Danio rerio: one gene and its partner. The protein of the gene in region 2 purifies or fractionates together with the protein of the main gene of each other region. This does not show direct contact. Links are inferred from orthologs where the notes say so. Each region holds a gene or a part of one and is shown on either strand. Other genes may lie near its edges.

Evidence for each region. Proteins that work in one complex are often made in the same cells at the same time.
Region 1: the proteins of irak3 (region 2) and irak1 purify together in Homo sapiens (co-immunoprecipitation; 3 studies listed by BioGRID and IntAct, with this or other methods). This does not show direct contact. The link is inferred for Danio rerio from reciprocal best matches to the Homo sapiens genes IRAK3 and IRAK1.

What each region holds. Positions count from the first base shown.
Region 1 is NC_133183.1:9,128,795-9,132,837, forward strand, and holds part of irak1 (interleukin-1 receptor-associated kinase 1), read right to left. Parts: intron 2,557-4,043; coding exon 2,376-2,556; intron 1,234-2,375; coding exon of another isoform or gene 1,230-1,233; coding exon 1,156-1,229; intron 1,037-1,155; coding exon 960-1,036; intron 1-959.
Region 2 is NC_133179.1:13,359,347-13,363,239, forward strand, and holds part of irak3 (interleukin-1 receptor-associated kinase 3), read right to left. Parts: intron 2,496-3,893; coding exon 2,431-2,495; intron 2,341-2,430; coding exon 2,229-2,340; intron 2,156-2,228; coding exon 2,037-2,155; intron 1,962-2,036; coding exon 1,763-1,961; intron 1,607-1,762; coding exon 1,544-1,606; intron 429-1,543; coding exon 261-428; intron 1-260. UniProt on the Homo sapiens protein: Putative inactive protein kinase which regulates signaling downstream of immune receptors including IL1R and Toll-like receptors.

The DNA.
Region 1 (4,043 bases), on a different chromosome or scaffold from region 2:
TTTGCTTAGACAAAAGTCTTGTCACTTAACAGAAATAATGTTGTAAAATATAAAGTCATGGTGCAGTGGCAAATTAATATTGTGTCTGACTCCCATGAGCTTAGAAGACTGCATCCATACATCTCTGCAATGACTCTAATAACATATTACTTAAGTTATCTGGAATGACAAAGAAAGCGTTCTTGCAGGACTCCCAGAGTTCATCAAGAATCTTTGGATTCATCTTCAGTGCCGCCTCCTTCATCTAACCCCAGACATGCTCAATAATGTTCATGTCTGGTGACTGGGCTGGCCAATACTTGAGCACCTTGACCTTTGCTTTCAGGAACTTTGATGTGGAGGCTGAAGTATGAGAAGGAGCGCTATCCTGTTGAAGAATTTGCCCTTTCCTGTGGTTTGTAATGTAATGGGCAGCACAAATGTCTTGAAATGTTGCCATCCATTATACAGAACTCACGCACACCTCCATACTGAATGTAACCCCAAACTATGATTTTTCCTTCACCAAACTTGACTGATTTCTGTGAGAATCTTGGGTCCATGTGGGTTCCAATAGGTCTTCTGCAGTATTTGTGATGACTGGAATTCAGTTCAACAGATGATTTATAGAAAAAAAAAATCTACCTTCTGCCACTTTTCCAAATGATAAACTAGAAGTCAAGTTATTATTTGTTGCACTTACAACTGGGATCGATGACAAGACTTTTATCAGGTAGTGTATAGAACAAAAAAATATACACAAGAATTCTGAACTTGACTTCATTCAATGTTCAGACTTTTAAGCTAGAAATCTATGCAAATTAGCACATATTTAATTAAATTACACCTTGTTTGAACATTTAAACAACATTTTATGAAGCTATTCTTACTATAATCATTCAACTCAGGATGTATGGTGAGAATTAGTTAACAGTTTTGTGCCCTTCACCTTCATTCTTTATCTTAATCAAACAAAATACCTCTTCAGTTGTTTTTGAGATTGTTGAGCTCACGGAGTCAGGTGGTGGAGGGCTAGGCCTGGGTAAAGGCCTGATCTCTGGAAACATAAAAGAGCCACTTTTAGCACAGATGTTATGATAAGTGAGCAACTGTTAGGTAATAATCAAAGTCATGTTTTATGTTAACATAAGGACTGTAGTAAGAATAACATGTTACCGGGGACAGGGAGATGCTCTTTGATAAATGTGACTGTACTGGGTTGTTGCTCTTTATGATTCTGTGGAAATTGTCTACCTGTGCACATGCATAAAAAAAAGAGCATTGATGGATTTATTATCTGAAACTATTGACAGGCAGTGCTTGTACAAATCATAACACAAGTACAATAAAAGCATATTTTCTATGCCAACATTTTTTATTTCAAACTAACGTTGTAATATATATATATATATATATATATATATATATATATATATATATATATATATATATATATATATATATATATATATATATATATTTTTTTTTTTTTTTTTTAATCATGTTTTCCATAAAATACAAGATTTGTTTTTAACATTAATATTAATAAGTATTTTATTACTATATAAATACTATATACTACATACTATATAAATATATACTATATAAATATTATTTATCATGTATGATTTATTATTGAACAATAAATCATGAGATAAGTAAATAAATATAAAAGTATTAAATATTATTAATAAATAAATATATTAAGTTTTATTGTTTCATATTTTTTGTAAGATCAGAGATATATATTTACATTACATTATATATATATATATTATATTATACATTTTTTATACATATATTTTAAGACAAAAATTATCTACAATCATTCATGATAGACAGATAACCCAATAACATGAATATCTAGCAAATGATGCCAGTAAGTCAAGTTTGTAGAATAATTTATGCTCCAACATATAAAGTCAATGAATGTGTTATTTGTTTAATTTTTTTTTAATCAGTGAATATGGATTTAAAAATCTACATTTTTTTAATTGATGTGACAAGCCAGTGTATAAATACATATACTGTTAGTATATTTATTTTCATAATATAGGTATCAGTATTGATTGCTGAAATGCCTTTCTACAGATTTGAGTTCAGATTTACAGGCAGAACAAGTCAATTCATTTTGATGAAAGTTAACAACAAACAGGTTTTAAAATATACATTGACGGATCACAAGCAGTAAACAAGTAAACCAAATAAGAACGTGGGAAATATAAGCACAACTGAGAAATTTCACATCTGACTGACAGCATAGTTCTTTCTTGAACCATGGAATGTGAAACTTTAGATTATAAAGCGAGTAACGTGATAACCACAAAACCCAACTGATAACCTGCTTGGCACATAGATGTGGTAAAAAAATCAAAAAAAGGAAGAAGAAAAAAAACCTACATAGTTGTGCTTTGAGAATGATATCACGAGCTCTGAACCACTGGAGTCCCTCAAGAATCTTCAGCAGTGCTCCAACTGTCCCATTGCGACAACCCCAATTGTGCATGAGGTTACTCGTCCGTCGAGGGCTTTGCTCCAAAAGGCGTAGTTCAGTCTGATCTGATATGATTTGTGAAGCTGCAAGGACATAAAATACTTTAATTGGCAAGCAAAATGAGAGTGTTATGAAATTGAATGGGAATTCTATCCAAAACTGAATAGCTAATTTAGTTCTTCAAACAAGTTCAGATTAAAATATCTGGATGAACTGATCTGAGATTACTGCGTTCTTGTTGTGAAGGACTTCATTTATTATTTATCCTCAAAATCATGATCAACAAAACAACGATTGACTGGCAGCAAGACAGCTGTGAAAGGACATCATCTGATTAATATAACGGGTGTCATGGTGGCTCAGTGGTAGCACTGTCGCCTCACAGCAAGAAGGTCACTGGTTCGAGTTCTGGCTGGATCAGTTGGCATTTCGGAGTGGAGTTTGCATGTTCTCCCCATGTTCGCGTGGGTTTCCTCTGGGTGCTCCAGTTTCCCTCACAGTTAAAAGACCTGCATAAATAAATAAACTAAATTGGCCATAGTGTGCGAGTGTGAATGTGAGAGTGTATGGGTGTTTCCCAGTGCTGGGTTATGGCTGGAAGGGCATCCGCTGTGTAGAACATATGGTAGAGAAGTTGGCGTTTCATTCCACTGTGGCAACCCCTGATGAATAAATGGACTAAGCCGAAGGAAATGAATGAATGAATGAATAAATGATTCATATTCTAGCCATGTGAGCAAAATGACATCGAATTGGTAGTAACTGAAAAGGTTTGTTAAATGATATGCTATAATATTTCACATTTGTTGCCGGTATGGCTGCACAATAATGGAAAAATTTACAATGTTGTTGAGTGCTAACATTTTTTTTAAAGATATAACTAACTTGCAATATGCTATTTTATCAGCAACCTTTTTTAAACACTTTAATATGTAATGATCATACTAAAATAAACAGGTAATGAGCAATTCCATGCAAATGTCAACCTTGCCATGAAAAAAATTACGTTTTCGCCAAAATAGCGAAACTGTTTCTGGTTAATGTATCTATCAGTGTTTTCAAACTATTATATTTGATTTACCAAAGTCACACAAGTGGCAATTTTACATCTGTCATATCCATAACAGAGAGATGTCACATCCATAACAAAGCTTTTTCATCATAAATGCAAAATCAAATAAAATCAATCATGTTTGTTCTATAGTGAGACAACTCTTATCATTTTTATTAGCATTGTTTCTTTTGGGTTGTGCAGTTTAATTCACAGAATTTCTACATAGTATGTTGTATACTGTAAACTTGCACCATTTTTGTCATATCCATGATGCATGTTTCCATTTTCCTATTTTAAAATTTAACATTTTTTTTACAGATTGATATTTTTCAGCTCCCACAACTCATACAACATAAAGAGATGTTTCAATATAAGGTTAACATATACTTCCTCTATCAATTTATGTTTTGAGATTTTACTGCAAATGTCACATCCATAAAGCTGGAATTACTTTGATTAAAACACCACCAATAACTAAAAACCTTAGCAGAAATTCTGGATCTTATTGGCAGTTGT
Region 2 (3,893 bases):
GTAGAGTTTGTTTTATAGAAATGCTGCATTTATGGCTTAGTTAAGGAGAGAAACTCATTTAGCCTTCAGAAATATATATCATAACTGAAGCGTACAGACACAAATTGATAAAGTGCGTTTTCTTCATATTAGACGTACAGAAAACATTTAATGAAAAGCAAAAATCTCAAAACTGACAGGTGTATAAAAACATTTTCTTATGCTTCAGTGTGTCTCATCAATAAGTGTTTATGTTGTGTGTGTAAAGAACATTTACGAACCATTTCCATGTCTGGCCTGACTCGCATTTTGCTGCCTGTGCACTCAAGTCCGAGTCGCAGCAGACAAAGAGCCACAGCAGGAGGCCAGTGCTCAAATTTAAGATCTAAAAACCGCAGACAGGCATCCACGCAGCCTTTTTCTTCTACCTCTGAATGCAGTACATCTCTCTAAACAAATCCAATGACATTAGTCAATTTGTTTTACTTACAAAACATTTTGGAATGATAGTGTTAAGGTTCTCACTCTCTCATGGACACCACATTTTTTTGATGACTTTCCAAAATCTCTAATAATTTTAAATTATGATCTTTGCAATTCACAGCCCCAGCATATATACAGTAGCACCATGAAAGTCCTTATTGGACTTAACATTTTACTTACACTTAATATTTACGTCAAAATACCACAGTAATGATGTTTTGAATGCATCATTTTCATAAATGTAGAATCATGTTCAAAGAACATTAAAACATTTAGTTAAATTCAATACCGGTAATATTTAAATGCGATGTCTGAAATATTACTAAAATGTGCATTTATTGTCATAGTTCTCATATTAAATTTAAGATTTTTTAAATTAGGAATTTCTTAGTTTTTAAAAGCAGCACAGTAAAATCTAAACACCAAAAACTTTCAATTCAAGCACTTTCAACGACCTATGTTCATTTTTAAGCACTTTCCAGTCCTTGAATTCATAGGTATGAAATTCAAGTAGTTTCAAGAAGCGTGGGAACCCTGTAGTATACAATTCAAGTTGATTTGTATAGCACTCTTATACAATAATTATTGTTTTAAACAGCTTTACAAAGGGTGCAAATTCAAGGATTCTACAGGTTTCATCAAGTCAAGAATTTTAAAGACCTTTTTAAGACCATTATGAATGAAATTGCAGACTAATTGCAGACTAATTGCAGACTTTTAGACTAAACTTTTCTAATGGCCCAGTTAAAAACATTAAAAACAAATGTTCCTGTAAGGAAGATAATTAATCCATATTGGTAAACTTTTTTCGAGATAGAATATTAGTGGTTGGATAGGTGTCATCCTGATTGGGTGACTTTTAGGCATGGGCCAGTATATGTTTCTGAGGGTATGATAACCTTGGATAAAAATATCACAGATTAAGGCTTGTAAAATTTTATTTAAGACATTTTAAAACTTTTTAAGACCCCGCGGATACCCTGGCATTATTGCTTTATGATCAAATTAAGTTAAACACCTATCATAAAACCACTCATAAGTAATATATGTAGATCATAAAGTGGATTCTTATCAAACTTACCAAAAACAAGTTTTTTGAGGACTCTTGTTTAACCTTTTGCCCTGTACATGTTTCCAATATAACCTACAAGCAAAAAAAACTGTTATATTTATAGTGATATTTCATATTGATATTAAGTTGGAATTGATATAAATCAATTAAACCATCAACAATAAAATAAAAAAGTAAATATCTTAGTTATACAAATTAAACATTTTCTTAGACGCTCCAGCTTCTCACCACACCAAGACTGTAAACATCAAGTTTGACTGACAGCTTTCCATCTCGAATGTACTCCTCTGGAAGATAGCCTAGATTACTATGTAGAGCAGTATTCATGACAATAGTGCAGCTCTGGTCAACAGAGTGTGGCCGCAGGCGAGCTAATCCAAAATCGCACAATTTAGGCTGCATGTTTTCATCCAGGAGAATGTTTGAACTGCCAAAGGAACACAAAACTCAATGCATGCTCTTTACTGCCACCTACAAAAGTATTTTTGGCTTTTAACGGCACCTTGTGATGTTTCCACATATAACAGTGCACGGTTGTGAAGTGTGTAGATGATGGACTGCCTTCGCCGTGCCTTTGATAATATTCAGCCGTTCTTGCCAAGATAGAGGCTTGTCAACGTGCTGTAATAAAACCAAAAGTAAGAGAAATAATAGATCACAGTTAGAAAAGACAGTTTGCTTGTGGATGACTGACCTCATGAAGTCTGTGGAATAATGATCCATTTTGAAGGAACGGGTAAACCAAACAGAAGCGATCCGAATCTGAAAAGCTCCCCCATAACTCTAAGATGTTAGGATGCTGGTTGCTAGGATGACAAACAAACGTAAATAAATAAATGACAAAATGATAAATGAACTTATTTGAATGTGGCTAGGTATGCAAAGTCCGGACTTACAGTTGGAGAACTTCAATTTCCTTGGTGAATTTTTCCCACAGTGCCTTCCAGTCAGTTTTATTTTCCTGTAAAACATAATAGAAGTCATTTGATCAGTTCTTTTCACAATTTGAATATTATTATATTCCAAAAATCAAGAAAGCAAAACATACAATTATTTTTATCATGATTCTAATTTTCCCCAATTTTCCAAATTCATTTGAGGTTTCATTTGTTAATATTAGTTACTTGTGTTAGTTAACTTTAATTATCTATGAAAAAATGTGGTGGTTCATTCCACTGTGTTGTACTCTGATTAATAAGGACTAAACTGAAGGAAAATTATTGAATGAAAATGCATCTACAGGGTTTATTAATTTTCTTTTTTTAGCAAATGTTAGTTTCAGTTTCACTTTATTAAAATCCAGAGTCATATTTGATCACGTGTTAATTACTAACATAAGCAACTTAATTCCATGCAATTATATTTATTCAAATAAAGCATTATTATTGTTGTTACTAATATGTAATTTCATAATTTACTTTTTTGTTATGTTCTTGTGGTACACATATAAAATGGCTGATGAATGTAAAACCAAAGGTAATCAAAATTTAAAAAAGCATTTGCTGTATTAAATTTATACTGAATATAAATATTTGCTCTGAATGTAAACTGTAAAACATGTACTGTAAATTAATAATTTTTCATTTAAAAGCCTTAACAATAACATAATTTCCCTCAACTAATTGTTTATCCAGCTGTGGCGAGTTCTGAAATAGAAACTAAGCCTATAGAAAATGAATGAATGAATGATTGATATAACTTCATAATTAGTACATTACATATAGCATTATTTTTACTTGCATTAACTGTTCATTAAAGACCTTGATTTTGTAGTTATATGATTACAGTGCTCAGCATAATTGAGTACACCCCATTTTGAAAATTCATATTTTTATCAATTTCTCAGTGAATGTAGGCAATGTATTTTGTTGCATTTAAACAAAGCAGATTTATTAAACAGATTTATTTATTAAATTAATATTTTAGTCACCAAACATATTTAGTACTTGAAAGATAATAAAATTAAATTCAAGCTAAATATTGCAAAAAAAAAACCAACCTAAAAACCTACAAAATTTCAACTAAATTTTAACAATTTATTTTTTTTTTGCTTTTTTTTGTATTTAATAATTTTGTGTAACATAAATTTGGGTGAACTAGTTTTTGGACCGTTATTGCAAGTTATTTTGTTAGATAAGCTCCAGATTTGGCTTGAGTACTGACTAATCTAATGTATATGCACAAATATAATATTGTATAGCTTCCTATTAAAAATATGAACTTAAAAGATAGATTTGTGAGGGGTGTACTCATATGCTGAGCACTGTGTATTATTAATTTAATATTGAACAATTGCAACACAATAACAAAATACAGATAAAACTGGTGTATGAAGGTTAACACAAGGTGAAACCCTAAG